Linked DNA regions of Schizosaccharomyces pombe. The protein of the gene in region 1 purifies or fractionates together with the protein of each later gene. This does not show direct contact. Each region holds a gene or a part of one and is shown on either strand. Other genes may lie near its edges.

Evidence for each region.
Region 2: the proteins of npr2 (region 1) and sea4 purify together in Schizosaccharomyces pombe (affinity purification with mass spectrometry, with the first as the bait; one study listed by BioGRID). This does not show direct contact.
Region 3: the proteins of npr2 (region 1) and npr3 purify together in Schizosaccharomyces pombe (affinity purification with western blotting; one study listed by BioGRID). This does not show direct contact.
Region 4: the proteins of npr2 (region 1) and lam2 purify together in Schizosaccharomyces pombe (affinity purification with western blotting; one study listed by BioGRID). This does not show direct contact.

Annotation. Positions count from the first base shown.
Region 1 is NC_003424.3:2,492,910-2,500,096, forward strand, and holds npr2 (Npr2/3 complex subunit Npr2), read right to left. Parts: upstream 4,654-7,187; 5' UTR 4,518-4,653; coding exon 4,010-4,517; intron 3,967-4,009; coding exon 3,830-3,966; intron 3,789-3,829; coding exon 3,204-3,788; 3' UTR 2,935-3,203; downstream 1-2,934. Other genes in the region: guanyl-nucleotide exchange factor Sec73, read left to right, coding at 1-1,202; RING finger-like protein Ini1, read right to left, coding at 1,905-1,947, 1,987-2,233, 2,305-2,358, 2,400-2,409.
Region 2 is NC_003424.3:343,481-352,329, forward strand, and holds sea4 (GATOR2-SEACAT complex ubiquitin-protein ligase E3 subunit Sea4), read left to right. Parts: upstream 1-3,631; 5' UTR 3,632-3,714; coding exon 3,715-6,432; 3' UTR 6,433-6,671; downstream 6,672-8,849. Other genes in the region: RNA-binding protein Cip2, read right to left, coding at 1-1,649; efg1 (rRNA-processing protein), read right to left, coding at 2,359-2,571, 2,634-2,764, 2,827-2,959, 3,064-3,138; ARP2/3 actin-organizing complex actin-related protein subunit Arp3, read left to right, coding at 6,997-7,031, 7,095-7,118, 7,191-7,719, 7,815-8,414, 8,480-8,575.
Region 3 is NC_003423.3:4,301,976-4,309,499, forward strand, and holds npr3 (Npr2/3 complex subunit Npr3), read left to right. Parts: upstream 1-3,885; 5' UTR 3,886-4,053; coding exon 4,054-5,117; intron 5,118-5,182; coding exon 5,183-5,876; 3' UTR 5,877-5,952; downstream 5,953-7,524. Other genes in the region: SPOM_SPBC543.02C (TPR domain protein, DNAJC7 family), read right to left, coding at 1-640; Ku domain protein Pku80 , read right to left, coding at 1,166-3,002, 3,043-3,109, 3,165-3,219, 3,264-3,392; bor1 (HC03 family inorganic anion exchanger), read right to left, coding at 6,081-6,404, 6,458-6,802, 6,841-7,276, 7,334-7,524.
Region 4 is NC_003423.3:3,101,524-3,109,822, reverse strand, and holds lam2 (guanyl-nucleotide exchange factor Lam2), read left to right. Parts: upstream 1-4,036; 5' UTR 4,037-4,103; coding exon 4,104-4,171; intron 4,172-4,292; coding exon 4,293-4,707; 3' UTR 4,708-4,971; coding exon of another isoform or gene 4,972-5,076; 3' UTR 5,077-5,122; coding exon of another isoform or gene 5,123-5,844; 3' UTR 5,845-5,890; coding exon of another isoform or gene 5,891-6,023; 3' UTR 6,024-6,074; coding exon of another isoform or gene 6,075-6,539; 3' UTR 6,540-6,921; downstream 6,922-8,299. Other genes in the region: fim1 (fimbrin), read left to right, coding at 1,082-1,315, 1,392-2,880, 2,935-3,056; Spo4-Spo6 kinase complex regulatory subunit Spo6, read right to left, coding at 4,972-5,076, 5,123-5,844, 5,891-6,023, 6,075-6,539; SPOM_SPBC1778.03C (NADH pyrophosphatase), read left to right, coding at 7,658-7,689, 7,870-8,299.

The DNA.
Region 1 (7,187 bases):
ACACGTTGCAAGGTATAGATACAGAGGCTATGGAATATGAATTTCCAAAAATTCCTCCGCTTGTATTTACTCCACCTCTAGAAGAGTTTTCCCCCGATACCAGTTATTCGCTTGTTAATGCGTTTGCCTATTGTGACAGAGATAAGAAGAATGTACGCAATTGTTCTTTTACCGTCATATTTCGGGATGGATCTGAAGAGACTCTTTGTGCTCCAACAGAAGAAAGCATGATAGAATGGGTAGCTAAAATTAACTACATCTCAACACTTCGTACAGCTGGTCTGCGAATGCCTGTAAGTGATTCTTACCATCCTAAAAGAGACTTTTCTTGCTATCCAAAGTATATGGAGGAAGAATTAGCAGCAATTGAAGCTCAAATGAAACAGGATATGGAAATTGCACGTGCCCGGACAATTAAGACACGTATTGACCAACTTGAAACATCTATTACTGAGTTCAATAAGAAACTCATGGTATTACAAAGAAATGCCAAAAATTTATCGACATGTGCACCCCTACAGCCGAAAACAAGAGTAGTTATTTTACAAGCCCTTAAAAAGGTCGATGCTAAAGCGCAATCATTATATTTGGAAATCAGAAAAATGGAGTCACAATTGCAAGTATTGCGGTTTGAATCTGATTTAGATAAATGCATTTCTCTTGAAAGTTCTAATGACATCGACGACAGACCTTCTTCGACAAGCCCAAGCACCCTAAAAAATCCGAGCATCAACTCAATCAATCGTCAAACACATGATGTTGAAAAAGAATCATCAGATAGAGATGTACCGCATCTTTTGGATCCTGATAATAATTTCAACTTGAAAGGCAACCCCGAAAACCCCTCATCGACATTTTTTACTCCTGAAATACTTTCACCAAAGGTTTACTCGGACAATGTTAAAGATGAGCCTGTCGAAGATATTTTTGGTTTTGAAGATACAAGCGAAAGCTCGCCCGGTAAACCCAGCCAATTGAGGCTTCAAATTGAAGCCTTTGATGATGAATTAGCTGACACAGCTAGCTTAGGTTCCGTGACTACATGTTTAGATCAATGGCAAACATTTTCGGACGATACAGATAGCGGGTTTGCTTTGAACCTGTACTCATCAGAAGATTTTCGCACGGATCCATATAAGGAACATGATGAGTTTAGTATGAATAGCCTATCGAAATGGCATTCTGCTACTTCTGATAATTAGCATGTATATCAAATGTTAACTACTATTATCTAAATATTTGTTCATCTAAAGTGATTTCTCTTTTTTTTTTTGATTTTTCTTATTTGAATTCATATCCGCGTATAGACAAGGATTCCCGCTTTATTTATTAATTATCTCTAAATCCATAATAATAAATTTTATCTCTCTTAGCCGTTCGAAAGTACACATTGCTGTAGTTACGATGCTTTAAGAACATTAATTGAAGAGCGTAACATTTGGTAGCGATTTTGATGTATTATGGCAATTCTTAAATATGTGGAAAAATTTAAGCGTTTATGTTAATTATATATTTTATCCGTCGAGCTACTTGGATTATGAGATGATCCACAAAACAGAAGACTAAAGGAATAGGTGGATAATGAATAAACATGAGTCTAATTAACTTCTAATAACAATTTTTAGTTCATTGATAAATGTCGTACTACATTTCGAAATAATTCTGCACCGCATGTAGAAAGACGAAAAAGAGTATAAACTATTTTTCTTTGCTTTTCAGCGAATACGAGTTATAAAAATTTTTTTGTTTTCGTATATTAATACCCAAAAATTAAATAATGCTGCAAACAATCAATAGCATAGTAAGTTATAAATTGAAAATAATGAAAAAGCACCAAACATAATATAAATACCATAACCGGAAATTAGTGGAATTAGGAAACAAGTCTACCATTAGATGTACTATTAATACGTTGCACCCGGCATTTCTTTTCCAGCATTTTTAAACCTAAAAATGGTGAGTATGCGATGCAAATTGTTAACTTACTTTTTCCGTTCATAAAACCAATCCGTCCGACTGGAACCAAGATTTATAACACGAGGGCAACCATCACGATCATATTCCATACGTGTGCATTCCGAACAATAATAACAATCAGAAACACCTGGAGCTCCACAAATAATGCATCGGTCTTGTGAGCTACCAAACGCGCATTCATCACATATTCTCACCAACGTTGTCGGCCTTACATGAGAATCACAAATAGGGCATTTTTCGTCACATCGTTCACATACTGTATATTCATGAGTATTAGAATCTGCCAATTATTTAACTATGCCAAATTATAGAACACTTTACACTTACACTTTCCAACAGTAATTCCTGGTTGTCTTCTGCATAATACTAAATCAGGATGATCTAATAAACGTTAGTATTTAATTTCATTTTTATTTCCATACGCTTTGACATTGTGAATATACTCAGAGGATTAATTTCAATGCAGCAGATATATATAGTAAATTTACGACGGTCCTTCGCGTTACGTTATGCTTAGTAAAATATAAACATCCTCTTCTGATTTCAAATTTCGTACTCGCTATTATGGATACGTTAAGCTGCAATACAGCCATGCAATGGCATAAACAAGTCGGAAAATGCGCGTTAGCAGTTGAAGTGCTATTATAAACAACGTATTAATAATGCTTGCAAGTATGTACCAAATATACTCTCCATTAAGCTGAGGATCTTTTTTTGTTGCGCCATATTTACGGAATTTTTGAACAATAAAGTAAAATAGAAATAAAATCTACTATTAACATTTATGAATTTATGATCAATGGACATACAGTAGTCGATGTTTACTGATGTATTGATGAAATTCAATTTTCATGGTAATCTTGTAGAATAAATAATTCTTTGTAGTAAAACAAATAAATGACGAAAATAAAGTGTTAAATACTTCTAATTAGGTACGCGATAACCAAAATTTAGATTCTTAAGTTTCAGCGTATAAACAAAAGGCACAATTACAATCGTTTTCCCTAACAGGCCAATTTACAGATAATCAACCATTGTAAATTGCAGTGTTTTGATAATATCTTCAAATTTATTCATAGTCATAAATATGATGCTAATGTATTCCAATCCTATACTTGACAATTTTGAAATTGACAGCAGAACTCGCAATGAAGATAAATTAAAACGACTATAGCTCCGATCATCCGAAAAAATAACAAGACTAATCGCAAGACTATTTTTTTTATTCATACATAAATAAAACAGGCATCACCCAATCCAGCAATCATTTCATTAACAACCTTTGGAGACTTTTTCAATGTGACACACAATTCATCAAAATGGTGCTTTCCATCCAGCAAACCAAGCAGTTTTTTCTCTTCTTCGGTTAAGTTATTCCTCATAGTCCTTCGTTCTAAGTATGGGTATTTATGCACACGATATATTAGCCCTTTTATAGTACCGAACGAGATTAGCCTTCGAACGTCTAAACCTTTGAAAATTTCTTTGTTCTCGTTCATCCAATCCTTAACACGAAGTCCTTGCCTTAAACTACAATACAGTTTGAAAATAGTAGCAAAAGTAACGTTTTTCGCATTAGAGCTGTTAGTTGATACATATGCCGTACATTCTCTTTGAAAATCTGGGTCTTGTAAAAGGTTAGGAGCATTAGTAGTCATAGCATAAATATTATGGAATTGAAAAATATCAGCTATAATTAGACAACCGTAATATAGAAAGTGTTCCATGCATTTTTGACAACTTCTATAGCTAACATTAGCTAATTCAGCAATCCTTTGAACTGAGTTTATGCCATTAATAAAAGGATAAACCTAAAAAATTAGTCAATTTTAATTTTTTTGGAAGAGAGTACCTTTTGAACAGTCATATCCCAATTTTTGTCCATGAGTAAATCCAACTGAGCCGTTAAAATTGGTACATGAAAACTTTTAACAGTAGGAGGAGAAGGAAAAACGGGAAAAAGCTTGATATTAATAGAATTTTGGTCGTCTTAGAAAGTTAGTTAAAGTCCGAATGAAATAATTGCGCATACCTAGCTGTATCATACACTCACAAAAGTTGTTCATGTCCTCCAAAATTTGCTCAATTACGCTGAAAATTACAGGTCTTTTGTTCAAATCAGATATATAATGAATTTGCTTTTCTAAGACCTCTAAATTTCTCGCTAGTCGCTTTACTAGTGGTATATAACATGCTGAATCTTCTTCTTCATGAAAAATCATACACATGTTGAAAATCAAAGCATTTCTCTCATAATTGCTACCTATAATTGATATTGGATGTCCAATGACTTGATAATGATTAGTACAAACAGTAATTGTTTTGTTGCAAAGTTCGCGTTTCGGAATCACATAGTCAGAAATAGTTTCGAATGGTAAAAGACAGTTCTTTCCACCATCAACATTTGTTACCGATCCAGCAGGAGCTTCACAAGCTACTATAGGGCCTTGTAAGGGATCAAATAATGCAAAAAATATTGCCAATAAACGAGGCGGAAAGCTGTCAGCTTGATCCATCCATCCCTCTTCAGAATACTCCATAGGAAAGCTAAAGAATTTAAAAATTTCCGAGTTTTTTATCTAACCTTTAATTTATGAAGCTAAAACTTGTAAGATATTTATTTTAATATTTCGTTATGCCCCTACTGGTGGATGCAAAAGCTTATGTGCAAGTGTCGATTTGGGGACTAACTTCAAAAACCATATAAATCTTTGTACGCTACCCAGAAAAGTAGTTGTGCTAATGAATTTATTATTTACAAACAATATTCAGATTTCTGCATTGATGTAACGGTAAGATGGAAAGTCATATAACACTTGTGTACATTGGGTCAGTAAATTATACAAATTTGATTCTTAACGTCAAAGCTTCCTGACTACAGCCACATTTCGCTACATCATTAATGTTAATAAGGTGATAAAAATCATATCTGTATTAACATTAAGGATTATTTCGTATGGATAACAGATGCTAGCAGCCTCTAGGGTTAAAAGATTTTAAAAAAGTATAAAACTTGATTTTCTTAATCTTTTTGCTTGATAACTGCGCTAGTAATATCCAGTATACACAGTAATCATATAAAAATAGTTAATCTTTGAAACGATAGTTAATAGACTTCAGTCGGATAAATCAAATTTTTACTGAACAGGAAGTTTTAATAAAAGTATTTGTGTTATTTTTACGCTAGAATTCAAATACTAAAACTAAATTTGTGTAAAGCAGTATTATTACAACTTCTGCTTAATTCTTAACGTAAGCTTTCGCTTAACTTAAACCTAAATAAAAAGATCACAAAACCGCTAGATAATTGTAAAACCTTTTATCCATTCACTGAGTCAATTATTTGTCCATATATAAATCTAGAGAGAGAGAATTGTTTTGTTACTATAATTGATTTCCTATCTTTTCAAACATTTGAAGATATAAATCGCTAGTTTCCACAGAAAATTAAAATAATGAGGCACCAAGCCATATTGACTGTATAAAAGATAAATTAAGGAGATACAGTGGAAAATTGTGATTGAGCCAGTGAATTTTTTCGCTGTTAGAAAGCAACGAAAAATACGTCAAATCATTGAAACTTCAATTAGGCATAAGTGCATGAAAGCTCGATAATTGTTCGAGTTGTTTAGCTTAAAACGAATAGATTAAAGTGCGAAAAGAGCGGATGCGTTTAATTTTTAGGATATTTGGTTTCTTTTAATGAGCTTTAGTTCATTCTTACTATATCGTTTTGTAAATAAACAGGTTCTGCCTGGTTTTCTCCTTCCTATTTTTTATAAGCAATATATCCTTAGAGTTTTCATAAACTTGACAACTTAACAAAATTAGTTGCTTGAAGTTTGAAGGGCCTCCGTTAATGGCTTTTTTTTTGTTTTTAATTTGATACGCTTCACTTTCAAGTTGATCATTATAACGTACCTCAGTGAGATAAAGACTGACGAGTCATCCAGCTCTAGCTAAGTATACTCGAGATATTTTATTGCAATATCTAATAATCATTTAAACAAAACTTGAATAATTCTGTTAAAATCGCAATTCATAAAACTGTTATGTAATTGTCATCGCTTATACATTAGCTTGTGATATTTACGTGTTTATCCGAGTGCACTATACATTAAAGGCACTACCACACCCGGCCAAATTGAATGTTTTGGGATTTTAAACATCGAATTGAACAGTCTGTTACAAATTTTAGAGAAACAACTTATGAAGCTTTTAGCCGATGTAAATTATTCTTGAAGACACTTCCAAAAACATCAATTTTTTTTTTTGACAGTAATTATACTAGAATGCCTTTTGATAATATGTTTTGAAGGATATTGTATCGGACAATTCCGTACTGTGGAATTGCTAAAGAATCTTGGAATTGACAGTTTGCCTATTTCATTAACGCTATTTATTTTTGCATGCTTCTTTATATTATATTTATGCGTAGAAGCTTTAAGTTCAAAAAATATAATTGAGGTACGTGAATTTTAAGCTATCCGTTTTTATCAACTAGAAAAAGCAAGCGGGATTTAAGTTTAATTCTTAAACAGTGCTAACATCCTTAGATCATCGGATTGCTATGCATTCATGTCGCATTATTTATTTATTCCATTGTTCAAATTTCAGAATTAGCAGAGATTCAGAAAGTTTTTCTTTCCAAAACACAATCCTCTCTTAATCCTATAACGCTAATTTTGAATAGGCATGAGGCAGGTAATGAGGGCATTTACTTTATACTTGAAGTCCCCAAGAGAATCAAACCATTCTTAATTGCGCTTCCGGTAATCCTTGGAGTAGCAAGTGTAATGTTAGGGTTCCTTGCACATGGAATGAACAAAGCGTATGGATGGGTCATCTACAAAAAAATAGGTCCTGAACTACGCATGCGAAGGAGATATTTGGTTTATAAGATATACGTGACTTTGTTAAAGATTGATATATACTTTTGTAAGTTTACTCAATTTCAAAAATTTATATCCTAATAGCTAATATTCTAGTTTTGGGAGTGACAGTACAATATGTGATGGTTCTACCGGAGGATGCTGTTGTCGAATTCGTACTTACTATTTTGGTATTACCGCTTACGGTATTGATTTTAACTTTATCATTCAACTCTGTGTCTTCTGAAAATATGTTTCTCATGATGACAGTTCAATTTTTTTACGTATGTGGCATACCGTATATCCTTTTCAAGATAATTCGGATGTATACTTCAACAC
Region 2 (8,849 bases), 2.2 Mb from region 1:
CCGTTTAAAGTATTTGATGAATTAGTCGCATTGCGATCCAGTGGAGAGGAAACATTTAAATTAGCAAAAGGAGTAGCAAGTTCTAACGGAGTAGCTGGCATACTACGTATGTCGGAAAAGGCTTTAGAATCATTTAGTCCTCTGAGAGAACGTATGCTATCCGCAAGATGCATAGAGGGAGCGGGTCGTCTAAGACTTGAAAAATTACTAGAAAGACCACCGGACGAGAAAAGACCATTGTCAAATAAACCAGAGGAGCTCAAGTGATTTGCAAGACTTGGTTGGCTCAAATTGGAAGCACCTAAAGAAGAAGGATTTAAAGTACTGGCGTTTGGGGCCATCAAAGGAGAGTGGTTAGCACTCGAATTATTAGCGGGAGTAAAATGAGTACTAGGCATGGTAATAACCACTTGCTTAGCTTCACCGTCACCAGTAACTGAATGATTGAGATTGAGACGGGAAGCTAATAAGGCAGCAACCCGACGTTCTTCCTGGGTGGTTGAAGAATCAAATACAAGATCATTAGTGTTATCGCTGCGATAATAAAATAACAAGATATGAGAATATACATTGAGTATAGCTGGATCATTCAAATCAAAATCAATGCCAGCACCTATATTGGCAACAGAAAACGGAGATTTCAATTGATTTTTTCGTTCTTCTACAGCGCGTTTCTCTTGTTTACCACGCTCAACACGTTCACGCTCCGCAGGCGGTAGTTGACGCTTCCATTCAACACGAAGACGACGACCAGTAATTTCATAGCCATTCAAAACTTGCACAACCGTTTTGGCTTCCTCTGGAGAATGGAAATTAGCAAAGGCAAGGCCCCTAAAAACTCCGTTATCAAAATGATAATTAAAAGCGTATGGACGTGGGATGTCTAATGCAGTGAACACTTTAAACAACACTTCTTTCTTCAAGGAGAATGGAATATTTTTAATAACAATCGCGGTAGGAATGGTCTCTTCATCAGGTTCAGGGGGTGCCGTCAAAGTTACAGAGTTGCTCATACCTCTAGACAGAGCAGTGCTAGAAGCTGAGTTTGGTACATGTGAATGGGATGGTTCGTTGAATGCATTTAAACTATCAAAAGGGTATGTTGTTGAGGAAAGTAATGAGGTAGTAGCAGGTCCAGAATTTTTGAGTACATCTAAAGCACTTGCAGACCGGAGAGAAAGGCCTGCTGAATTAGTTGCTTCTTTCCAAGCAGTTTGAAGACGAGTTCGACGAGGCTTTGCAGATGGATTATTGGCAGTTGAAATTTCAGGATCCAGCATTTGTTTAAGGGAACTTGGTAAAACCGTAGAAGAACCATCACCCAAACCATCATCTGCATTGTTGTGGGAAAATATGCCAGACCCTCCCATTCCAGCACTGTTAACGGCTGCATCAGAAAACGTAAACTTATCACGACCATATCGGTTCTCGAGATATCCTGATCCTCCAGGAATATTAAGACCTCTCATTTCTTCATCTTGAGCTCCATTTAATTCATCTAATTTGGGGAAAAAGTTGGACCGTTTTCTACGCAGAGATGCAGCCTCAGAATGGAAAGTTAAAGGGGAAGAAGCAGGAGAAAGAGTATTAGTTGACAAAAATGCCTGCGACAAAGGCGTTAATGGCCTTTGGCTTGTGCCCTCAGCCATATCGACACTAAACAAGTCGTAACTTCGTGTGGTGCGGAGGTTAGGTATCCGTGGACACCACCAAGGGCGCAAAGTCAATATACTACACCATATTATTGAGGTCTTAAACCCATAAATTCAAATATACCAATCTATAGAAGCAAATGTAAAAATAATTATTATAAAATGTATATACTACATACTGGTGTTGATTTTTAAACCCCCACTAGGTAACTTTTTGCCAGGCAAATAACAGGGTACTGTGATGATAAAACCGAAAGTCCATCTAAGAGCTCTTAAAAACACTGCTGCAATGATAAAGACTATTAAACTGTCTAATAATTCGACCACCTAAAACAGAACAAAATGAAAGTCCTAATTTTTTGTTTTTACTTAAATTCTTGTAAATTTATATTTTTATTAATTTGATATTCCATGAAATATCATTCGAATTTTAGCATATTAGATTATAGAATGAAATATGTGAAAAATATCTTCAGTGAACCTTAGGATCCAAAAGCTTCTCTCCCACAAGTTCTATTTTTGGTACCCTAGCAAATCCCATTGCAATATGACATAGAAAAAATTTAAATAAACTTGCATAAAAAGAATACCTTGCTCGATAACTCATATGGAAACTTCACAACCTTTATTAAAAAGAATGAATCATATTATTACAGTTTCGTCTATTTAATCCCTTTATTTCCAAAACCTCAATCCAAGTTTTCATTTATCTTTGCAAAAATTCATCTTCCAAATCACCACCAGTTGAACTTTTTTCCTGTACAGGAACCCTGTTGGAACCTGAAGATGGTATTTTGTGTTTTCTGCCACTATTAAAGCGTTCTTCCATCTCGGCCCAAATGCGATTTCGAGTTTCTTCGGTCTGTTCAGATGTGCCTTCTGCGTAGAGTGAAACATACTTTGTTAAAGGGGGGTATTCCTAAATAGGTTAGTATCTTAGCCAAGTTGATAGTTGAAATGAAGTCGAAAATACAAACATACTTTAATATACATAAGATCAATTTGACATTTACGCATCGATTTCTCACACTGCTTGCGTTTCTCATCATCCATAGTTTCATCCTTCAAAGATTTTTCCAATTGTTTAATACGTCGTTCTGCTTTTTTACGTTCTGAGAAAATCAGTAAGCAAGTTCACTGAACAAAAAATGCTGTTTTTATATATGTTTCATACCAAAAAATCGAACTTTTTTGTATCTTTCAAAAATCTTTTGCTTTTTATGCTCTAACTGTGCCATAGACAACTGCTCTTGTAGACCCAAAAGAGCTCGTTCATGTTCAACACGAATGTTTGCAGGCAAATTCTCCTTAAAGGAAGTTAGTTTTCTTATTCATTAACATAAAAAGGAAGGTAATATTTATTACACACTGAAACCGCAGATGTTTTTAAACCAGCAAAAAAATTACACACCTTTTTCAATAATCTCTCATTGTCGCGAATTTTTTTCTTCAGCACAGAAAGTCCAGGGCCCTTAAATTTTGGCATGCTAAAACGCTCAATAAAATAGATAAATAGAAATTCAAACCATAAACAATTAGTTCTGGTGAAGAACAGTAGTAAACTTAAAGGACTGCAATTTTTACAGCTGCTAGGTTCTCAAGTGACACGTTACTTTTATATATAAGTTTAAGCTGGTAATTATGATTAAAATATTTGATTCACTCACACTTATTCAAGGTAGATTTATATGTTGTACTTGTGGAGTGATTTAAAAGCTTAGACTTTCAACAGTACATCAAAGAATCGCTTGTTCGACACCGAAGTCACCCTAGAGATTAAAAAGTATGCAAAAGATAGTTAATCTAGCAACCGGTCTGTATTTTAATACTACTATTGTTAAGAGAATCATCAATAGCAAAAAGAAAACCTTTGAATTTGACAGCCTCTTTTCAGTCCGTTGTTAAGGCATTTCTGTTAGCTATCGTTAAGCAAATTAGTGCTAAACGTTATGTTTGACGAGTGGTTGAGATTGAAGAACGCTTCGATCAAGCTCTGTTTAATGTTTATGCAGTATTTTGGGCGTTTCTGGTAAAGCCTAATTGTCAAATTTCTCTTTAGAGAATGTTAAATAGAAGTAAAAAGAGGAATGGCTGTTATTTTTGGGTTAACGGCTCCTCAGATGAGATTCGATATGTCGCCGTCAAAGCTTCCCCTAAAGTAAATTGGAAAACTCACATTATTTGGAGATCATTGAAAAATGTTAAATGTATAGACTCTTTTCACGGAAACAATGAAATATTGGGTGCTGGTTCTTCTACCGGAAATATATCATTGCTTTCTGTTAAGCATCCAGAATTTCAAGCAGTAGTAACACCTGGATATGCTCGCCCTTGCAATAGTTTGGCATTTTCTGAAACTGAACATCTTGTTGCTGGATTTGCAAAATCTCGAAACGAGTCTTCCTTGAAGTTATGGGACTTGAATTCATTACTGTCTGACCCGAAGAGTAGTCCCTTAATGCAGTCTTCTACTCTAGACGGAGTTTCTTCCGTTTGTTATAAGAAAGACACTCCTCTTTTGCTTACCGGATCAACTTCGCGTTCTGTCCATATAATTGATACTAGGCAGCAACTAGACTCAGTTTCTTCCGTCAATACGCAATATTATAGTAATATAGTTGTTGATCCATTTTCTCCTAACTATTTTGCCGCAAATTCTTATGATGGTGACATTGCGATTTTTGATACTCGATACTTCAAATCCGATAATTATTTACAAATTATTTTACGGAACGAAAATAAAAAGCCCAAAAATCCACAATTATTTGCACTGAAATATTCTGAATGGAAACCTGGACAATTGGCTGTTTTGTCAAACAATTCGATTACACTTCGTCAATTATTGCCTTGTGTCAATGGAAATGAAGGATCCGCAAATAATTCTGTCTTTGTAAATTATGAGAAGAAATATCCTGTTAAACCAAATTCACAATGTTCTGGCATTGATTTTTTTACTCCTTCTACAGCCTTTCCAACTCATGTTCAAATTTTGGGTGTCATAAACGAACAACCGAAACTTTTTTCTGTCCATGATGAGGTCATTCCCTTTTCATTTAACCCTTATAATGATTTGATATTTTCCTTCAAAGAAAAACTGTATCCTTTAAACTCTTCACCATTTAACACACTTTCTGATGTCCCACAATTTGATGTCAGCGAATTTGTCGATGAAAACTCTTTCGATTCCTCGTCTTCTTGTTCCTCCAAAGTCTTTCTAACGACAAGAAACAACTCAATCAATTCAGAGGATTCCGCTCATGAAGTATTGCTTTCCTATAACCGCGTCCTTGGATCTGATATTCAAGGGACAATACTAGATCGCGTCAAAAAGGGCTACCAATTTGATTCCCAAAAAAACTCAGAATTAGTTTCTGATTTATACTTAAAAGATCTATGGTCTTGGATTCACTTAAGCCATAGACAATCAGAAGAATCACTGTTTGGAGACACAGGAGATACAGATTTCAGCTATCAAGGTGCACTAGGTATTTGGTTTATGGATACTGAATTGACTAGCATGTCCGATGTTTTTGAAGCAAAAGAAAGCAAATTTTTAGAAAAAAAAATTTTAAGACTTGCTAGAGATGTTATTGAGAGACTTGATTTAGATATATTTACGTCTATCCAAACTAAAAGGCCTTTACGCCAACTCGCTTTACTTGCCTGTGGATTAGGAATGTCAAATGATGACTTGTTGTTGGAAATTAGAAGACTGATTCGCAAGAATGAGCATGTAAAAGCCGCTGGGTTAGCACTTTTCCACGGAAAAATTGAAAACGTAGTCCGTATATTATCAAGTGGGAATGAGCTGGAGAAGACCATATCCACAGCAGTTGCCGGATACATTACATCGCAAGGCTTAAGTAACTTTGGAAGTGACTCATTGTGGAAAGAAATGTCTCGTAACTTAAGTACAGAATTGGAAGATCCATACTTACGTGCAATATTTGCGTATGTTTCCAACTCCGATTGGAGAGATGTATTAGATGAAGTTTCTCTCTCATTAAAAGATCGTCTTGGAATTGCTCTTCGCTTTTTACCAGATGACGATTTGAGTAATTATTTGTGCGATTTATGTCACACTACAGTGCAATCAGGCGACCCAGAAGGCCTGTTACTTACAGGTTTAACTCCTTTGGGAATGGAACTTCTGCAGAACTACATTGATCATACAAGCGATGTTCAAACTGCTGCATTGATTGCTGCATTTGTGGTACCTAAGAAATTTCTGGATAAACGTGCAGAGGATTGGACTGAAAGTTATAGAGAGCTTCTAAACCGCTGGAAACTTTACCGTGAGCGTGCAAAGTTTGATATCTTTCGGACAGAACTCTCAAAAAATCACACAGGAGAAATAACCAGAAAGGCTACAGAGCCATCTATACGCATTATCTGCAATTTTTGTAGAAAACCAATTTTTCCTTTCTCCAATAGGAATGAATGTAATAATTTACCAACGCCAATTCAACGAGGTGTCAGTAAAGCAGGCCCAGCAAAACACTTGGGAAAAAGTTGTCCTCATTGCGGACAGCCTCTTCCAAAGTGCTCTGTATGTGGGTTTTCTTTAGGAGATGAAGATGTTCCTCAGAAAGATGACTTTTCTCAAAAACCTCAAAACTATGTCAAAGAAGTTAATCTTCAGAAATCTAGATTTGGGTTATGGTTTAGCTTTTGTCTAAATTGTGGCCATGGAGCTCACGCATCTCATGCTTCAGAATGGTTTTCAACTCATACAATATGTCCGGTTCCTAACTGTGATTGTGAATGCAAACTGAAATAGAAATTGCAAATGAGAGCATTAATTAATAGCATTAAAATAACAGTTTATGGTTTGGTTCACAAGTAATAATTGCTACATGAGTGAATATAAAATCCATGATTACAGCTTAAAAATGTTTAAGGCTAAGAGGTTTAAAGCATAAGGTCTTTAATACTATGATTTGTTTAAAAATTCGACATAGCTATCTACATTTGTAATTGTTTGATAATACCAACGTGGTTAGTTTTATTACTGAAAAGGGATTAACGCAAGATCGTTAATATTTAATTTTCTAGTAGCAAGAAGCGTCTTCTAGCTTAGCAACTTGGTAATTTTAACCGGTGGTACTGGTATTGAAGAAATACATATTTAATTTTTTGTGTAAATTAATTTGGCCTTAGTAAAGATATCCAAAGTGGGTTGTATACGGGCATTCGCATTTAACGTAATCGGCTCATCTCGTAAATTACCATATGTTTCCCGTTAACCCACGTAATTCGACATCGGTGACCGTTGCGAGACGATATTAAGAGTTTCAACTGGAACCAACTTCTCTTTCGCTTACCTTTTCATAAAATAATAGCAATGGCTTCGTTTAATGTTCCCATTATAATGGACAAGTAAGTATTGATGTAGCGAAGTTAAATTGTTCGTGAATATCAGTTACTAACTTTATTTGTTAGCGGTACCGGCTATAGCAAGCTTGGGTATGTGTAATAGTCGTTTTAGGATGTTATTATCTCTCTTTTGAGCATTTATTAACAGTAATTTAATTTCAGCTATGCTGGGAACGATGCTCCTTCTTATGTATTCCCCACTGTTATTGCGACGCGTTCTGCGGGTGCTTCTTCAGGGCCGGCTGTTTCATCAAAGCCTTCTTACATGGCCTCGAAAGGCAGTGGGCATCTCTCAAGCAAAAGGGCAACTGAGGACTTGGACTTTTTTATTGGAAACGATGCATTGAAAAAGGCGTCTGCTGGATATTCTTTGGACTATCCTATCCGTCATGGACAAATAGAAAATTGGGACCATATGGAGCGTTTTTGGCAACAGTCTCTCTTTAAATATTTACGTTGTGAACCAGAGGACCATTATTTTCTTTTGACCGAACCTCCTTTGAATCCACCTGAAAACCGTGAAAATACTGCAGAGATTATGTTTGAGTCGTTCAACTGTGCAGGACTCTACATTGCTGTTCAAGCGGTTTTGGCTCTTGCCGCCTCTTGGACATCTTCAAAAGTTACTGATCGTTCGTTGACCGGTACTGTTGTTGACTCTGGTGATGGCGTTACTCATATTATTCCTGTTGTATGTATAAAAAATCTAATACGAGCTTAGATAAACAGTTTTGAACATTAAATGCATATATATATGCCCGAATTTTACTAACTGATAAACCTTAGGCCGAAGGATATGTTATCGGCTCTTCCATTAAGACAATGCCACTTGCTGGTCGTGATGTTACGTACTTTGTTCAATCCTTATTACGTGACCGCAATGAACCTGATTCAAGTCTCAAAACTGCTGAAAGAATTAAAGAGGAATGTTGCTACGTTTGTCCGGACATTGTTAAGGAGTTTAGTAGATTTGATCGTGAGCCCGACCGTTATTTAAAATATGCATCTGAATCAATTACTGGACACTCTACTACTATTGATGTAGGATTTGAACGCTTCCTCGCACCTGAAATATTTTTTAATCCTGAGATTGCTTCTTCCGATTTTTTGACCCCTCTTCCGGAACTTGTGGACAACGTCGTACAGAGCTCACCCATTGACGTTCGTAAAGGCCTTTATAAAAACATTGTCCTTTCTGGTGGTAGTACTTTGTTTAAGAACTTTGGCAACCGCTTACAAAGAGATCTCAAGCGGATTGTTGACGAGCGTATTCACCGCAGTGAAATGCTCTCCGGTGCTAAAAGTGGTGGTGTAGACGTTAATGTTATCTCCCATAAACGTCAACGAAATGCGGTTTGGTTTGGCGGCAGTTTACTAGCACAAACGGTATGTCATTATCTTATGTTTGTATATTTTTTAGTTTACCCGTAGAGATTTACTGACATGTTTAGCCTGAATTCGGATCCTATTGCCATACCAAAGCAGATTACGAAGAATATGGTGCTTCCATTGCTCGTAGGTACCAAATTTTTGGAAATTCTCTTTAATGAAATATATCATGAGTTTTGCGTCTATAGGATTTACTGATTAAAATGAAAAGTTTAATGGAGCAGGCATTAGCCTTAGAAGAAATAGACTTGAGGTTTGCTATGTTTCCAGGCTTTTTCATTGAGCAATATCAAATAAGATGTATATAATTAACTTGTCCAAATAATAATGATGAGAACCATGAGAATAATAATATAGTGATTACTAATAACGTAAAAGGAGAAAAAAAAAGAAAACGGATGAAACCGATGGGTTCCGCCTGATAAATACTTT
Region 3 (7,524 bases), on another chromosome or scaffold:
TGGCCGTAGTGCAATCAGGATCTAATTTCAATGCTTCTTGAAAATGGGTAATAGCCTTCGCATTCTCACCCGAATAATACATTACTTTACCACGGAGGACTAAAGCTTCTACGTTCTTAGGGTTAAGTCGTAAAACATCGTGTGCAATTTTTTGAGCACGATCCATATCGTTCTGAAAAATATATACCTGCGCTTTCAAATACATCCACGACATTGGGGGTTGAGTAGTACTATCAATACGACGCTGAAGGCGATCAAGAGCATTAAGAGCTAATCCAGCTTGCTTATTTTTCAAATACACCTCTGCCTCATTTAAAATTGATAGACCTTCGTAAGCCTGACGAATACGAGATTGTGTTTTTGGAACGTCTGGCTTAATACGGTCGGACTGTTTCGCGTCACATAAAGCCAATTCAAACTCACCAATCTGCATATAAGTAGCGGCACGATTGGAATAATAAATCGCCAACGCTGAATCTGATCCTAAATCAATGGCTTCTGTATAGGCTTTGATAGCCTCTGCATATTTCTTTTCTTTATAGAAAGCGTTTCCTATAGCCTTTTGCTTTTCAGCTAGCTCAGCAGGCTCTTGTTGGCTCTCTGTACCTGCATTCATGTGTGTGGTTTCGACTTCAGTCATTTTGATCGAATTAATTTAAATATTTAAAAAATTTAAATTTTATTTAAAATGACAGAAAGTTCAGGAACGCTTTCCAATCGCCGAAGCGTAACAGATCAAAAAGTCAGTGGTAGGTAAATAGATACGACCAAACTATTAAATTTTAGTATCACTAATAAGGAACACTGCTGTAGCTCCTTAAGCATGTCCCCGATATTTGTCCAATTCGTGAAAGTAAGTCTAAAATGTTCTTTGAATAATGTAATTGTGAAAGATAGAATATAAATAAAAAAATGCAAGGAACTCTCACCAAGTTTTTAAACGATAGTTGTGTTTTCTGAAATATCATAGGTATGTTTACCTAAACTACTTAAGTTAAAACTATTTTCTATTTTTGCGACCGTGTATTCTATATGCTAATAAATAGCGGATTCATGACTTAAAAATTTTTATTAGAAATTTGGATAAAAGTAAAAAAAATATTGCAAGTATTTAATAAAATTTATTTATTTATGTTCGAGTAAGACAAGTCATTGTTGTCCTATGCTAAATGTTATTAAAATTATCATGTCTAGTCAATTCATCATGGAGAATAATATCTAATCCAGATGATCTTATTTTGTTAATAAGCTCATTCTCCTTGGGTTTGTTATTTTGCATTACGTCCTTTTTCAATCGAGTAAGATACTCATTAAATCTTTCAACTTCGTCTTCCAAAATTGAGTGTAACCTGAGAGATTGCAATGACTGCAAAGCAAGATCGTACTTAGACTTGTCAATAAGATTTTTAATTACTTTTTCCATTTCTGTCAAAGCATCCTCTAGTCCAAAAGGGTTTTTCAAAACTTCAGTGAAAGTGCCTACTGGGTCTTTTTCACTAACGTGAAGGACTAATAATTTTTCTCCTTCCTGTTCATCGAGACCAGAATTTAGTAGTTCTTCTATTTGTTCCTCTGATATTGGGGCGCCTGTGTCGAAGGCTGTTTCTTGAGAAGAATATTTTGGTTTGACGGGGACGTTCACTGTAAGTTTTTCCTTAATCAACTTCAAGTCCAAAATGCAATTATCAAGTAAACTTTTTGGAGGATTGGTGTAACGTGTTAAGTAAATATTTGGTTGAGGAAGATCGCCTTCTGGTGAATTTGCATAATAACTGATAGCTTGTTGAAGTCTATGTGGTATCATACTAAAGGTATTTTCGGGCTCAAAAGGAGGATTGAACCCACAATCAGAGGAATCTAAATCCATATTATCGATATAATTACTTACGGCAAAATCAATTTGTCGCATATCCTCTTCATTTGACAGTTTCTCGAACTCTGAGAAAGAATAAGGCCGAACATCTTCAGCGAATGGAAGTTGTATATCAACCAAGTAATGTCTTTTAAACTCCACGTAAGGCATCAAGACCAGCAAAACTGGTACGCCCTTATCTTTAGAAACAAACCTTGCGAGCGCATATCGGTGTTCACGTTCAAGGGATTGAACAAAGGCAGAAAAATTTAATTTGCTTTCGAAGTCATCTTTTGGAACGATTATATTAGTATCACTAATGGTATAATAAATTGGAAGACTAGATTTAGGAATAAATCCAAGGATTTCATAACCGGGTATTGTATCTAAAGCCAATACGTCTTCATCTGATCGGCTGATCGGGACGATTGTCCTACCATAACTATAACCGCTTTCCAAGTCTTCTCTTTTAACCTCAAAAGAATCGTTTGTTTTTGGATCACGAACCATGTACGATCGAACAGTAGACACTGCATCAGATTCCATACTTTTGTTTTCCACATTTGAATTTTCGATATTAAGACATTCATAATTTTTAGACATATCGTTTTCATAAAAAGCAGATGATGTTGGCGGTTTAGTTAAACGAGTTCTAGGATATCTTTCAACCTGTATGCTTATAGACGTATCTTTGCTGTCTCTATTACCAATACTAAATGTACCTCTAAAGATTGCGACAGGTCTCACTTTACGAACCCAAGGTTTACCGATGTTGTTATAAATCTGTTGAAATGTGCAGTACTGACCATGACAACTCTCAACAAACTCTTGAATTCGAACTTCGTTTTCCTTTTTCTGAGATTCCTTTAAAGGCTCAGAATAATTAATATCTTCTTGATCAAAATCAACTCCATAAACACCTAGAAAAACATCATGCTGCAGTAGTTGTTCGGCAATTCCAATGTAATCACTAAAGTCGATAATCCCCCTAGCTGCCGTAAGCACTATCATCTTCTTCTTCCATTTGTTCTTTTTACAATGCCGAGCCATCAAATCAAAGGACACAACTATTGCAGATATCAGATCGCCTTGCATAGTATTGCTTGGTTTTAACGTTTGAGAAACGGATTGTAGCTTTGAAAATAAGGCACTAGTTAAGAAGTTAATGGAGCATTTAAGAGAAAGCTTACGTTTGTATAGGATACAAAACACTGATATTCCAATAGGCTTCCTGCTCAGCTAAATCATTTTTCGTATCTAAACACCGTAAAAGTTAGAAGTAGTGTACCTTTAAAACATTACAATAGAATACCATCGCATTTGTAACCAACGATTCCAACTACGTCTGTCTTCCTATTTGCTAAAAACTGAGTATGTGTCAATAGGGTGTCGATAATGTTGAGCAAAATACCTTATGAGACAATTCGTCGTGAAAATACGACAAAGTCCATTCGAGATCAGAATGAGACCTGCCATGGTGACAGGTCCCCATATCTTTGCCCAAGTCAAGTACAAAAACAGTACATTCCTTATCACTCATACGAATTGTTAAGGAATACAGATTTGGTGGAGGTCAAAGCAAGGTGAGATTTGTTGTAGAACATTGGGGCCTCCGATGCTTTCAACAGTTAGATATCAATTACACGGTCATTTTAAATGATTCAGGTATTTTCTTCGCGGTATGAATATACTACATTAACAGTAAGTCCAGCAGCATATGTGCAAATGCACATGTGACTGAAATGTAAATAACCCAAAACATTGTATATAAATTAGTCAATTCATTTTTATAACTTAAATCAGAAACTCTTGAGAATTGAATTGGAGCTATTAAAGTTGCTAAGGTTTTACGCACATTAGAAATTTTGCATAGCGATGCTTTTACTTTCAATTCACACATTAATTTACAAAGCCGTGAACTCATATCTCAAGATGTCAATAATTAGTTAACATTCAGTTTAACTATTCATGTTAGATCTTATTAGTTTTGTACTAGGCGATTAAAACACCGAGCTGCCAGATGCATATCGCTCACAAATCTTTCGTACTACACGCAAATTACCAGAAAACGATACCACCCCCTTGAGGTATAATGTTTAAGGTGATATTTGGTTTTCTGTTGTGAAAAATATATTAAAAAACACACATATGTACTTCAATTATCGAACATACACATTTATACTTTGTTTTAAAACGCCAAAATGGTACGCTTAACTCCTCGATTAGTAGCCATTTTCCTTGTTGAAAAAACAACATCAGGAGCTAATTTCGTCTTTCACTGGCCGCTACAACCTCAAGTACGTCTACAAGCCACTCATCATAATAATGATTCAGCGGAGTCTGCAATCGGGATGCTCGACCTTGATGACAGCGATGATGATGAGAATAATAGGTTTACTGAAGTAGCTGACGATACACATGTACTTGGTTATGAAAAAGGCTTTCTCGCAAATATGCTAAGTCCTCGTATTGAACTTTGCAATCAAAAATTTGAAATTTGGGTGGATGGTCTTACTTTTTTGGGATGTCCTGTTCATATTGGTCCGAACGGTGAGTGGGCTAAACGAAGGAAACCACGAACTACTGTTGAGTCTAATGCTTCTTCGAGCCATTTGGTATCAAAGCCCGAATCTTCACACCCTTCGACAGGAAGTTTTGAAGTAAAATCATCTTCATCAAAATCGAGATCTTCAATGTCTTTATTTCATGTCGTCTTTGTATTAAATGTGCCTACAGCTACCGTATATCGCCCTACTGTAAACACGATGTATGATCATATAGTAGTCAAGTTAGTTACTGGACTTAAATATGAACAAGCAAAACGGAATTATGTTGAAAATGAGTGTATACACATCTTAAAACTGACTGAAAAATATTCAAGCCAAAACGTCCCATTCGATGTGTATGCCGCTCAAATCCCTCATCACTCAAATCTTGCTTCGGTTCTTGCTACTACATATGAGGCTTTAATTAACATGCATACGGCTTATTTAGAGATAAATCAATCGATTAACTTAAGCTTACTCTGGCCTATGTCGGTTTCCACCAACACACTTGAAAATTACGAACTGCAGGTTAGACCATCAACTATTTTAGCATCTCAAACCATCTTCTCTGAAGAACATCCTTCCTCTATTGAACCTTTCGTTGCCCCCTATTGGACTTTGTTGCTCTTAAAGGATACAGACACTATAATGAAACGTGTTCCTCTTTTACAAAATTCTCTTCTTTCTTCTTTCATTGCCATAGTAAAACCTAACTTAACGTAAGTTTTGTCAAGTCTAAACAAAATTTATTATTGCTATTAAATACTAACTTACAATATTTCAGGTTCACAGATATCGCTAATCGTCTAGGAATATCAGTATCAGAATGCTTTATTCTAGCAAAACACCTTATTCATTGGAGAAAGGCTATCGCTATTCCTCCTTTGTTAATCCGGAATACTTATGTTACATCCCCAACTGCTAATCTGTTTAATTTGGAGGAGGAGTCAAAGCTTTTTAAAAAGGAATTTCCGAGCCTTCCCTCACTGTCAACATTTTTAGCTATTTTGTCGTTTAAACCGCGACCATTTGCCTCCATTATTCCATCGAAAGATCATGAGTTAGTTTATTTGGAAATGCTTGCTTGGCTGTGTCGAAGAAATTGGGTTTATGAACAGAATATCTATATGTATATTCTCGTTCCAGAAGAAATTAAGAAAAAAGCGATTGCACTAATAGAATCTGATGAGTCTTCTAAAAATGACATGCAGCTTAGAAAGCAACTTGAACAAGATAATGGCAAAGAGTCTATTATCATTGATCCGCACTCTGCCTCTTTGCTTGAACAGAAATGGATTCAAATTATAGCTTATGAGAGGGGACCAGAAATGGCTCCATTGTTTACGTCAATTGTCAAATATTTAAATGGTAGGTTTGCTTTACAAACTATATGGGTTGCCGAAGGCTTACCAAGGAAACTAATGCGAAATATTCTTAATGAGTATAATGATTACATCCTTCGATGGCATTCTTGGTGAAACTACGAAAGTATAGCTTGGACTAGCTTATTAATATTTAATCAAAATTTAACACACCAAATATATTACCATTGTACGATATTAGTAAATTAATTATTAGAAAACGTCTTTGAAATCAAGTCATGACAAATACCTAATTATACAACCTATTCCATCAAGCTTTTTTTATATTTTATAGAAGACCCCATCTTTAAAAAAAGTAGATTATACTTTTTGATAAGCAATAATTCCCACATTTTCGTCTAAAATTTCAAGATCTTCTTCAAGGAACCATTTAGGCATACAATAAGTCCTAAATGGAATCAGTAATAAAATAATAATAGGGAAACCAATGGATGCTTTATCAACCTGAGTAATTGCAAAGGTAGCACCAAAACCTATTAATTGCAAAATAGTGTATAACCAAACTACGCGTTTTGAGCTACAGTGGTTTAAAGTATGGTTTTTAGATACCACCTTTCTGTCACTTAACATCCAGATTACGTTTTGAGTGATACCGTTGCCAAATATTGCTGAAAACCCCATCACCTAAAATTCAGTTAGCAAAATATAATCTTCCCTTCAAAAAAAAAAAAAAATACCCAAAATAATCCTGCTAAAACACATTGAGGAATTTGATGTAACACCAGTAAAAGTGGACCAGTCATGGTGCCAACAGTCATCAATCCCTGAATGAAATTACTAGCTCGTTGTTCAACAACTCGATCTATAACTTCTTTATGCGTTTTTTCAATTTCGTCTTCATCATAATCAACCCTTTTAACACAAAGTGCTGCAGTATGCATGGGAGCCTGTGGAATAAGCCCATTTGGAGCAGGAATACCTAAAATACCACTCACTCCAGTCGTTATACCAAGAAGAAAAAAATCCCAATGAAATCCAGCAGGTTTGGTTAATGGAAACGAAGGATCTTGTGCCATTACAGACTACTAATGTTAAAAAAAGGAAATTAAACAATACATACAGAAACGTTATGATCAAAATAGAATAGGATAGTGAGAACAATAGAAAAAGGAATTGCCAGGAAAACATCCCCAACGGGTATTTTCCAAAATTTTATAAACCAGCTTCTAGATAACGTGGGTTCAAAAGCTTTTGTTGTAGGAAGTTTCGCTAAAGAAACTTCCCGCATTTTCCCAATGTGCTGAAACCCACTGAAAAAAATGATGGATGCAACAAGTCCGTAATCAAGAAGTAGAATACGTACTTTGTAACTGAATAAAGAAGATTTTCCTACTGTATCACAAAGCCATCCCACCATTAAAAATAATAAAGCAATAGTAATTGACAGAAATGTATTTGTAAGCCCATACTTTAATTGGTCACAAAGAACTTGAACGCCTTTTTCCAAATAAATAAACGCAACATATAGGCCAAAAATTTCACAGCTGAATTTTGTGCTACAGTTTTCAATTAGCTGGATATCACAAGAACATAAAAGCAAAAAGCGAACTTACATATGCTTTACAAAATAAACCCCATTTGCTATAGCAATGATGAAGTGAAAAATCATTGACCAAAGACAAATCCAGCAAAGGAAAGGGAAATATGGTGTTCCTCTATCATGCATTATATCGTAAACAGTATAATTAAAGACTGTAATAGGCCCTGTAACCCCGACGATGCACAAAGGCTGCGAAGAAAGCAA
Region 4 (8,299 bases), on another chromosome or scaffold:
TAAGAATATTATGGTTAATATAATTATGTTTTATGTATTTCATTAGCTTTTCAAGTTATGTTTATATCTACTGTGTTTGATTGCAATATTGAATCATCTCTGCTGAAAATCCCTGCAACGCGGTGCCTCTATGAAAATAGTGTTTGCCTTTTGCAAAAATCCCATAGGTTTTATTTGGATAGTTGTCAGACAATATTTTACAACAGCAGCCGCAAAGGAAATTCACCATGCTTCAACAATACCGGAACAGCTAATCTTCTGAAGCATCGTTATAGTAGTATTGTGAGTTTTGTAGATTATAAGAAAATAATATAAGAGAATCTTGGTGCACGCAGTAATATCATACAATATTTATATTGCAGCTTATAAACGAGACTGGAAATACACGTGAAAAGGTAGTCAGGTTAAAAGTTTAACCCTGTGACATCTGGCTAATCTTTTATCCTATTGCGCAGTTAAAAGCGGGAATTACTTCTTTTTCTTATATTGTATCAAAAATTGTTGGCTTCAGTGACCTAAACCCTTGAACAAAAGAAAAAAAACACGAATTTTCACGGCCGGAAAAACTTTCTGCAACGTTTTACAAAGGATCTACTATCATAGTAAGTAGAAATTTTGGCTTCTTGACATATAGTACTAAGTAATTTTCAAGTCGATGCATCAGTTGACTTCAATTGAAAGAGCTTGCTAGTTTGTGATGTTTATGGCATTTGAATTCGGTAATATCGCTAATTTGATATGGACTTACGTTTAGCTTTTTATTCTGTAAAAAAAATTAAAATTCAATGTAGTTGATATCCCAGCTATATATTCAATCTAAAGCTACAACGCAAGACATCGTCAAGTAGTAAATTACTTTTTACAATTGCAAATTAACTTTTAACAGATTGGCTAAGCAAACGTGTATTAACTCATTTAGCGAGCGGATCAAAGTTTTGCTCTACGCTTCTGTAAGTATGATGTATGTGCATCAACAACACGACGTTAATCCTTGTCACGTAGCAACTGCAAGCCACCCAAAGCACACATCGTGTGGTTTCGTTTACTATACATTTTTTGGTCAAATTTTACTTTTAAAGAAATGTTAGCTCTTAAACTTCAAAAGAAGTATCCGGAGCTCACTAATGAGGAAATTCTAACCTTAACCGACCAATTTAACAAACTTGATGTGGATGGAAAGGGATATTTAGATCAACCTACCACTATTAAAGCCTTTGAAGATTCAAAGAAGGGTTCTTACGATGAGGTCCGTGAAGCAATTCGTGAAGTTAACGTTGATTCGTCTGGACGTGTTGAACCCGAAGACTTTGTAGGAGTAAGTAATGTTTTCCGTAATTTTCACGATATGTGTCTCTATATCGCTTCATCAATTGGATTACTAATGCATATAGATTTTCAATGTTTTAAAAAAAGGTGTAGAAGGTACTGAAGTAAAAAAGGGTCGGATTACTATCAAAGGATCTTCCTCAAGTGTTTCTCATACCATTAATGAGGAAGAGCGAAGAGAATTTATCAAGCATATTAATTCCGTCTTAGCTGGAGACCCTGATGTTGGTTCCCGAGTCCCCATCAACACTGAAACCTTTGAGTTTTTCGATCAATGCAAAGATGGTTTAATCCTCTCAAAGTTAATTAATGACAGCGTTCCCGACACCATTGATGAGCGTGTACTCAATAAACAGAGAAATAACAAGCCTCTTGATAATTTCAAATGTATTGAAAATAACAATGTTGTTATTAACTCCGCAAAAGCTATGGGTGGTATCTCCATTACCAACATTGGTGCCGGCGATATTTTAGAAGGTCGTGAACATTTGATTCTTGGTCTTGTTTGGCAAATCATTCGCCGCGGTCTCCTTGGAAAGATTGATATTACTTTACATCCCGAGCTTTACCGCCTTCTCGAAGAGGATGAAACCCTTGACCAATTTCTCCGTCTCCCTCCTGAGAAAATTCTTCTCCGCTGGTTCAATTATCACTTAAAGGCTGCCAATTGGCCGCGTACTGTCTCTAACTTCTCAAAAGATGTTTCAGATGGCGAGAATTATACTGTGCTGCTCAACCAATTAGCTCCCGAACTCTGTTCACGTGCTCCTCTTCAAACTACAGATGTTTTGCAGCGTGCTGAACAGGTTTTACAGAATGCTGAAAAATTGGATTGCCGCAAATATCTTACACCTACCGCTATGGTTGCAGGGAACCCTAAGCTTAACCTTGCCTTTGTTGCTCATCTCTTTAATACTCATCCAGGTTTGGAGCCTTTAAATGAAGAGGAAAAGCCGGAGATTGAACCATTTGATGCAGAAGGTGAGCGTGAGGCACGTGTTTTTACCTTGTGGTTGAACTCTCTTGATGTTACTCCATCCATTCATGACTTCTTCAATAATTTACGAGATGGCTTGATTTTGTTGCAAGCTTACGATAAAATCACACCTAATACCGTTAACTGGAAAAAGGTGAACAAGGCACCTGCATCTGGAGATGAAATGATGCGTTTCAAAGCTGTTGAAAACTGTAATTATGCAGTGGACCTTGGAAAAAATCAAGGTTTTTCTTTGGTAGGAATACAAGGTGCTGATATTACTGACGGTTCTCGTACACTCACCTTAGCATTGGTTTGGCAAATGATGCGTATGAACATTACCAAAACTCTACATAGTCTTAGCCGTGGAGGTAAAACTCTTTCAGATAGTGACATGGTTGCGTGGGCCAATTCTATGGCTGCTAAAGGTGGTAAAGGTTCTCAAATTCGTTCATTCCGTGATCCTTCTATTTCCACTGGTGTGTTCGTCTTAGACGTACTTCATGGAATTAAGAGCGAATATGTTGATTACAATCTTGTTACCGATGGTTCTACTGAAGAACTTGCTATTCAAAATGGTATGTATATATATTTGATATATTTTTAATTTTCATTACTAACACATCGTTTAGCTCGTCTTGCTATTTCTATCGCCAGAAAGTTGGGTGCCGTAATCTTTATTTTGCCAGAAGATATTGTGGCCGTTCGTCCTCGGTTGGTCCTTCATTTTATTGGCAGTTTAATGGCCGTATAATTTGTTTCGACTTAACTATAGCTTTTAACGAAACGATTTAACACATGTGTTTTTCCCAATTTAATTACTTATATTGCGAACAACTTCGGAAGTGAGTACGTCGCTTTTGACTCGCTATGTTATTAGTGGTATGTCATATTATAGATAACTTTGTGTTGTTTTATGATACATCTTAACCCGTTTTTGTCCCTTTAGTATTGGGTAATCCTTATCCTAATTAATGTTTGAGGAATTCTGAAGCTGCACGACGAAACGTAGTCATTTTTTCTCAAACTGTAGAAAATAGTTAGCTTTTTAATTTCATAATGAAGGGAAGATCATTTGTATATGTAACTAATGGTAAGTCTCTGTAGGCCCAAATAGTACGGACTGCATATGCAAATCAGCTTTCTAAATAAAGCATTCGTTGGGAGAACGTTGGTCTACCAAGCCCTAATTTTCAAACACAATAAAAAGAAATAAAAATGTATATATGTCGATTAACATTTTTTACTTTAATAAAATATTCGGAATCTTATAACAATATTATTTATTATCAGATTACTTAACATAATACACATTACGTCCACCGTATATTGTCCAACTATGTCAGCAATACTACACTACGCTATGCTACACTACGTTGCGTATCACTATATGTCATATGTTGGAATACTAGCTAAGATCCGTTTATTGATAATCACGGGTAACTATCCTTCTATATACATAGATACCCGTTGATAACAACTATTTAGAAATATTATAAATAGCGTTACAACTGAACCTCGTTCCTCAGTTCAGTTATGAGCTATATTAGTGATAGGTAACATTATAACCCAGTTAATACAATACCTATACTCAGTTGCTACTTATACAACCTGTGTATTGTAATATAATAGACCACAAGGAAAACTCACCGCAGTTCTACGTATCCTTAAATCAGATACCAAACTGCGTAGCTTACAAACTACTTATAACCACCATTCAAAACAGGTTAAATCGTTATTGCCGATTGGACTTTAAAATACATATTGCTACCTTTACTGCTATCTAAGTTTAAATTCGAAGATGATTAAGCCAAAGAAGTTGTCGTCGTTGATGAAACAGGCAGTTGAGGAAACTGTACCGTCTATCATGTAAGCATTTAGTGAATTTGAAGTTCATTCTTACTTCAAATCCAGTGGGTACACCTGTACTATTTTGGAGCTTAGATATATAAGTTTATTGTTGAAATATTCTGAGGTATTAACAAACTAGGGTTTTTACCACTACTGGCTCGCTGCTAGCTTATGTTTCTTTTGAAGATCCTAAAGATGGTTTAAAACGTCTGGATTTAGCTAAAAGGGTTAGATCTATTGCGGCTTTAGCAGGCAACATGTATTCACTTTATACTGCAACCAACCCTAGCCCTTTGGTCGCGGAGTCTACAGACGACGTGATTGCTCATCAAAGAGATGTACTTTTTGAAACAATAATTGAGTTTGAAAGGGGGAAATTATTAATAGCCGCCATTTCAATTGATGGGGCTGAAGATAAACTTTACTCCAAAGACCCATTATTATTAGGGATTGTTGGAACAGAAAACGCAAAGGAAGGAATGATGCAAATCAAATCTGAACTTTTGAAAGAGTGTATCACCAATGAGCTTTCCACGCTTGGAAAACCAGTCTAACTTATTTTAAATCTATTTTGATTTAAACTCGATAATGTTTGGAGCTTTACTTGCATTGTTTGTTACAATCATAGGCTTAAGCCTGACCTTGGTTTAAGAAAAGAATGCTACAACACATCATTATATTGTTAATTTTCTCTTCCCTTTTAGCAGATTATTTTGAATTTTTCATTTGGACAAAGGATATATTGATTTTACGGTTTATTTGAATGTTTGAACTTGCTTTCTGGAATTTTTGAGACATCCTTAAAACTTGAACTAACGTTAATTTGTCCGAATTGGGCGTCGGATTAGCAAAAACAAATCATCTAAACCCTGGAAATTTTCATCTTTCTCTGCAAATCTTCTATGATGTTTTCCGCCCAAATGCTATCGATGTGTTAGTGCTGTTTTTGCTATGATTGGTTTAACTTACCCTTTCCAAGTCCTTGTATCTCTCACAGCAGTTTTCACAATATCCTGATTTTGTTTCGATTTTCACCTTCTTGTGAGCTAGAGGATCTGCATCGAAGGCATTAGGTGGTTGTCGAGGACTTTGGTTAGCCAAGGTGTTTTGTTTGTTTATTAAACGAGGTTCAAGAAGGTTAAGTGGAGACATTGCGGCGCGTTTCTCTACCGGTAAGAGGTTTTCTGGCTTTGGAAACTCTGTCGGCATTTGTTTTGCACCATCAACTGCTGATTCTGTGATATTATAGTCCCCCATGATTTGACGCACCAACACACTCGCTGAATTTTTAACAACGTTATTTTGGTTAGTTTGATTAGTGCAACTTAAGAGCTGTTTTCTGATTTCGTGAGCTGGATGGTTATGTTTTGTGATTTTTAACTCCCTTCTTCTACCAGTATTAAATGGACATCTTCCTTGTGCGGTTATAGCAAGACTTGGCCATAAGATCTCTCCAGAATCCAATGTTTTCTCCCATTCTCGTACTGCAATTGGCTTATAGTATTGTGATAAATCTCTAATGCAGAGGAAGTATTCACGAAAGTACTCGACGTTTTTGCTTGGCACGTAAAAGTCTTTGTCTGATGTACCATACACTTTTTCACCGTCTAGGAGAGATTGCAAGCACGAAGCTGAGGTATTAACCAGGCTATCAGAGTTGAGTAATGTAAAGAGGATTCTGTTCAATAGTTCTAAGAAAGTTAGCGAAGGTTACACTGATATATTAAGAAGACTTACTGTCCAGGAGCCAAATTTTCATATTGGCAGTTTTCGAAAGGTAAAGTACATCATTCGGCTGGCACATTTCTGGGTCGGTAGTCCTGGTGGTAATGAAATGTGTAACTTCAAAAGTAAATAATGTTGCTACTTTCTATATATGTGTTAGTTTTGATCTGCGCAAGTTCTTGCATGAACTACTTACGGCTCCAAGATTATTAATCTTTTGCGTAACACGACGCTTGATTTCCTCATCAACGTTGTCAAAGTAAAATATAAAGTTGGGAAACGCCAATCGATAATCTCTTTGCCAGTAACGAAGTTTGGAAACTCGAATGCTGGTTCTTGGTATATCCTTGTTTCGCGTTAGGGAAGGTTTTACACAGTAGTTTGAAAAAGCAGTGGGTGGGAGAGCCATCTTTGCTGTGGCTTTAGCAGAGTCAAAGGCATTTTGATGAGGCATGTGCGTTTGTTGTTGAGGGTACCAGTCGGAGCATGAAGTTGCGCAAGCTGCAGTTTGACACAGTTCTTTGTCCGAAGTTTCTGTTTTATAGCTAAGAGGATTTTGAATATCTCTCTTTACTTCTTCGTTTATATTTTGTATACTGGGATTTTGGTCGACTAGAGGAGATCGAACAAACGGCTGAGACTTCACTGAATAGAAGTCCATACTCTTCCGGATTGACTCGGAAAGATTTTTAGGAAGAAGAAGTATGTATATATATTCCTTGGGAGGCTGATGAATTCACCTGTTGGTTAATCCTACTTATGTCTGGCTTTAATATTCAGCAATGGCCTCGGTAAGCAAGATGCAGGTTTTCCTCTAGAAGTAAAAAGATAAACCTATCTTTTTTTCTGTGGAAGTTTGGAGGAGTATCCTGGATATATATACAATTTGATTTTGTTTGTTTACTCAAATATTTTCTCATATTCACCTAGTATTGTTTGTAAACAAAAGCCTCGCCTCGCGTATTAAGCCAGTAAATTAAACGCGCGACACGTCGCGTTGCGTATCACATTCATACTAAATAAATAAGCTACTTTGGCTCCATTTGATAGTTTTGCTGGGTTCCTTTGTAAAAATTTTTTTAGTATTCATATGATTAGAAAATATATATTTACTTGATTCAAGCTTGTAAAATAAACATAGACCCAATTTTAAATAAATAGGTACCTAAAAGTCTAGGTAACATTGTTACACTGACACGTGAGAACTTTGTAGTTAATTAATCGTCAACATAACGAAAACAACTCAAAGCAATTCCCGTAACTGTCCATTTAGGAATTAACCAAAAAAACAAACAAACAAAATCTATTTTTATTCCAATGATACTTTTATGACTCACCAAGGCGTTAATAATTGCGAAAACACATACCAATATGTTTACAATTATTTTTTTAACGAAATTCGTTAAATACTTCATGGCATTTGAGAAGTTGTATGGCAATCGTATTTAACGGAGACTTTTTCATATTCAGTATCCCTTTTCATTTGGAACTTTAAGGTTTTCCCAGCTGAGAGTTCGTTTACATCATTTTATTAGATTTTTACTTGCAACTTGGGTTCGACTTTTAGTTCACTCATAAATTGTACCATTACCATTACGCTGGTGCATAAATAACCCTCCTTCTGGTCCTCTCTGTTCTTCATTTCCATCTTTCATTTTCTATTCTGCGTATTTTAACAGTTAAACAATTGTAGAATTTATTCGAGAGATTTGCAAAATTCTGTTTTAATAATTGGTTAGGTTTAATATTCTTTTCGTCTTTCAGAAATCAAGTTTAAGTATGCAGGGTTTCAAAATAGCTCGACATTTTGAGTAAGTAGTTAATTGTTAGTTCTATTTAAAGCTACTTCAAACTTGATAATTCATATCATCTGTTTTGCATGCTCATGGAACGTACCGCTCAACCCTTGCTAATACATGTGCAATGTAACACATAAAATCAATTTTTGATATAATAATCTTAAAAAAATGAGTTTTCTAACGTTTTTCAAGGCTTCCGACTGCCCCTTCTCAGTTCTTCGCAGGAAGCTCATTAAATAGGCTTTCGTTTCTTAGGTCTAATCGAGAATTTTTAAATAAAGCCTTTTATGATCATACCACTCGCTTTCTTCCTTTTTGTGACTTAAATCCGGCTCTACTCGTAAAGGACGATAAATTGGTCACTCTTTCATATCCTCAGATATCCAAATATTTCACGTTCTCCCCTTTTGAGCACACTGATAAACAAATTGCTGAACGATTTTCCAAAGGAGAAAGTTTACCTGTCCTTGTCTACATGGGCAACGAAGAAAGAAATGGACCAACAGATAATTGGAGTCAACACAACGTTTTTGCCATTGACATTACTGGCATCGATGAACTTCAGCAATCGATACGAGACAATGGAGGTACTTTCGTTAATCTTCGCTCTATCTTCACCGAA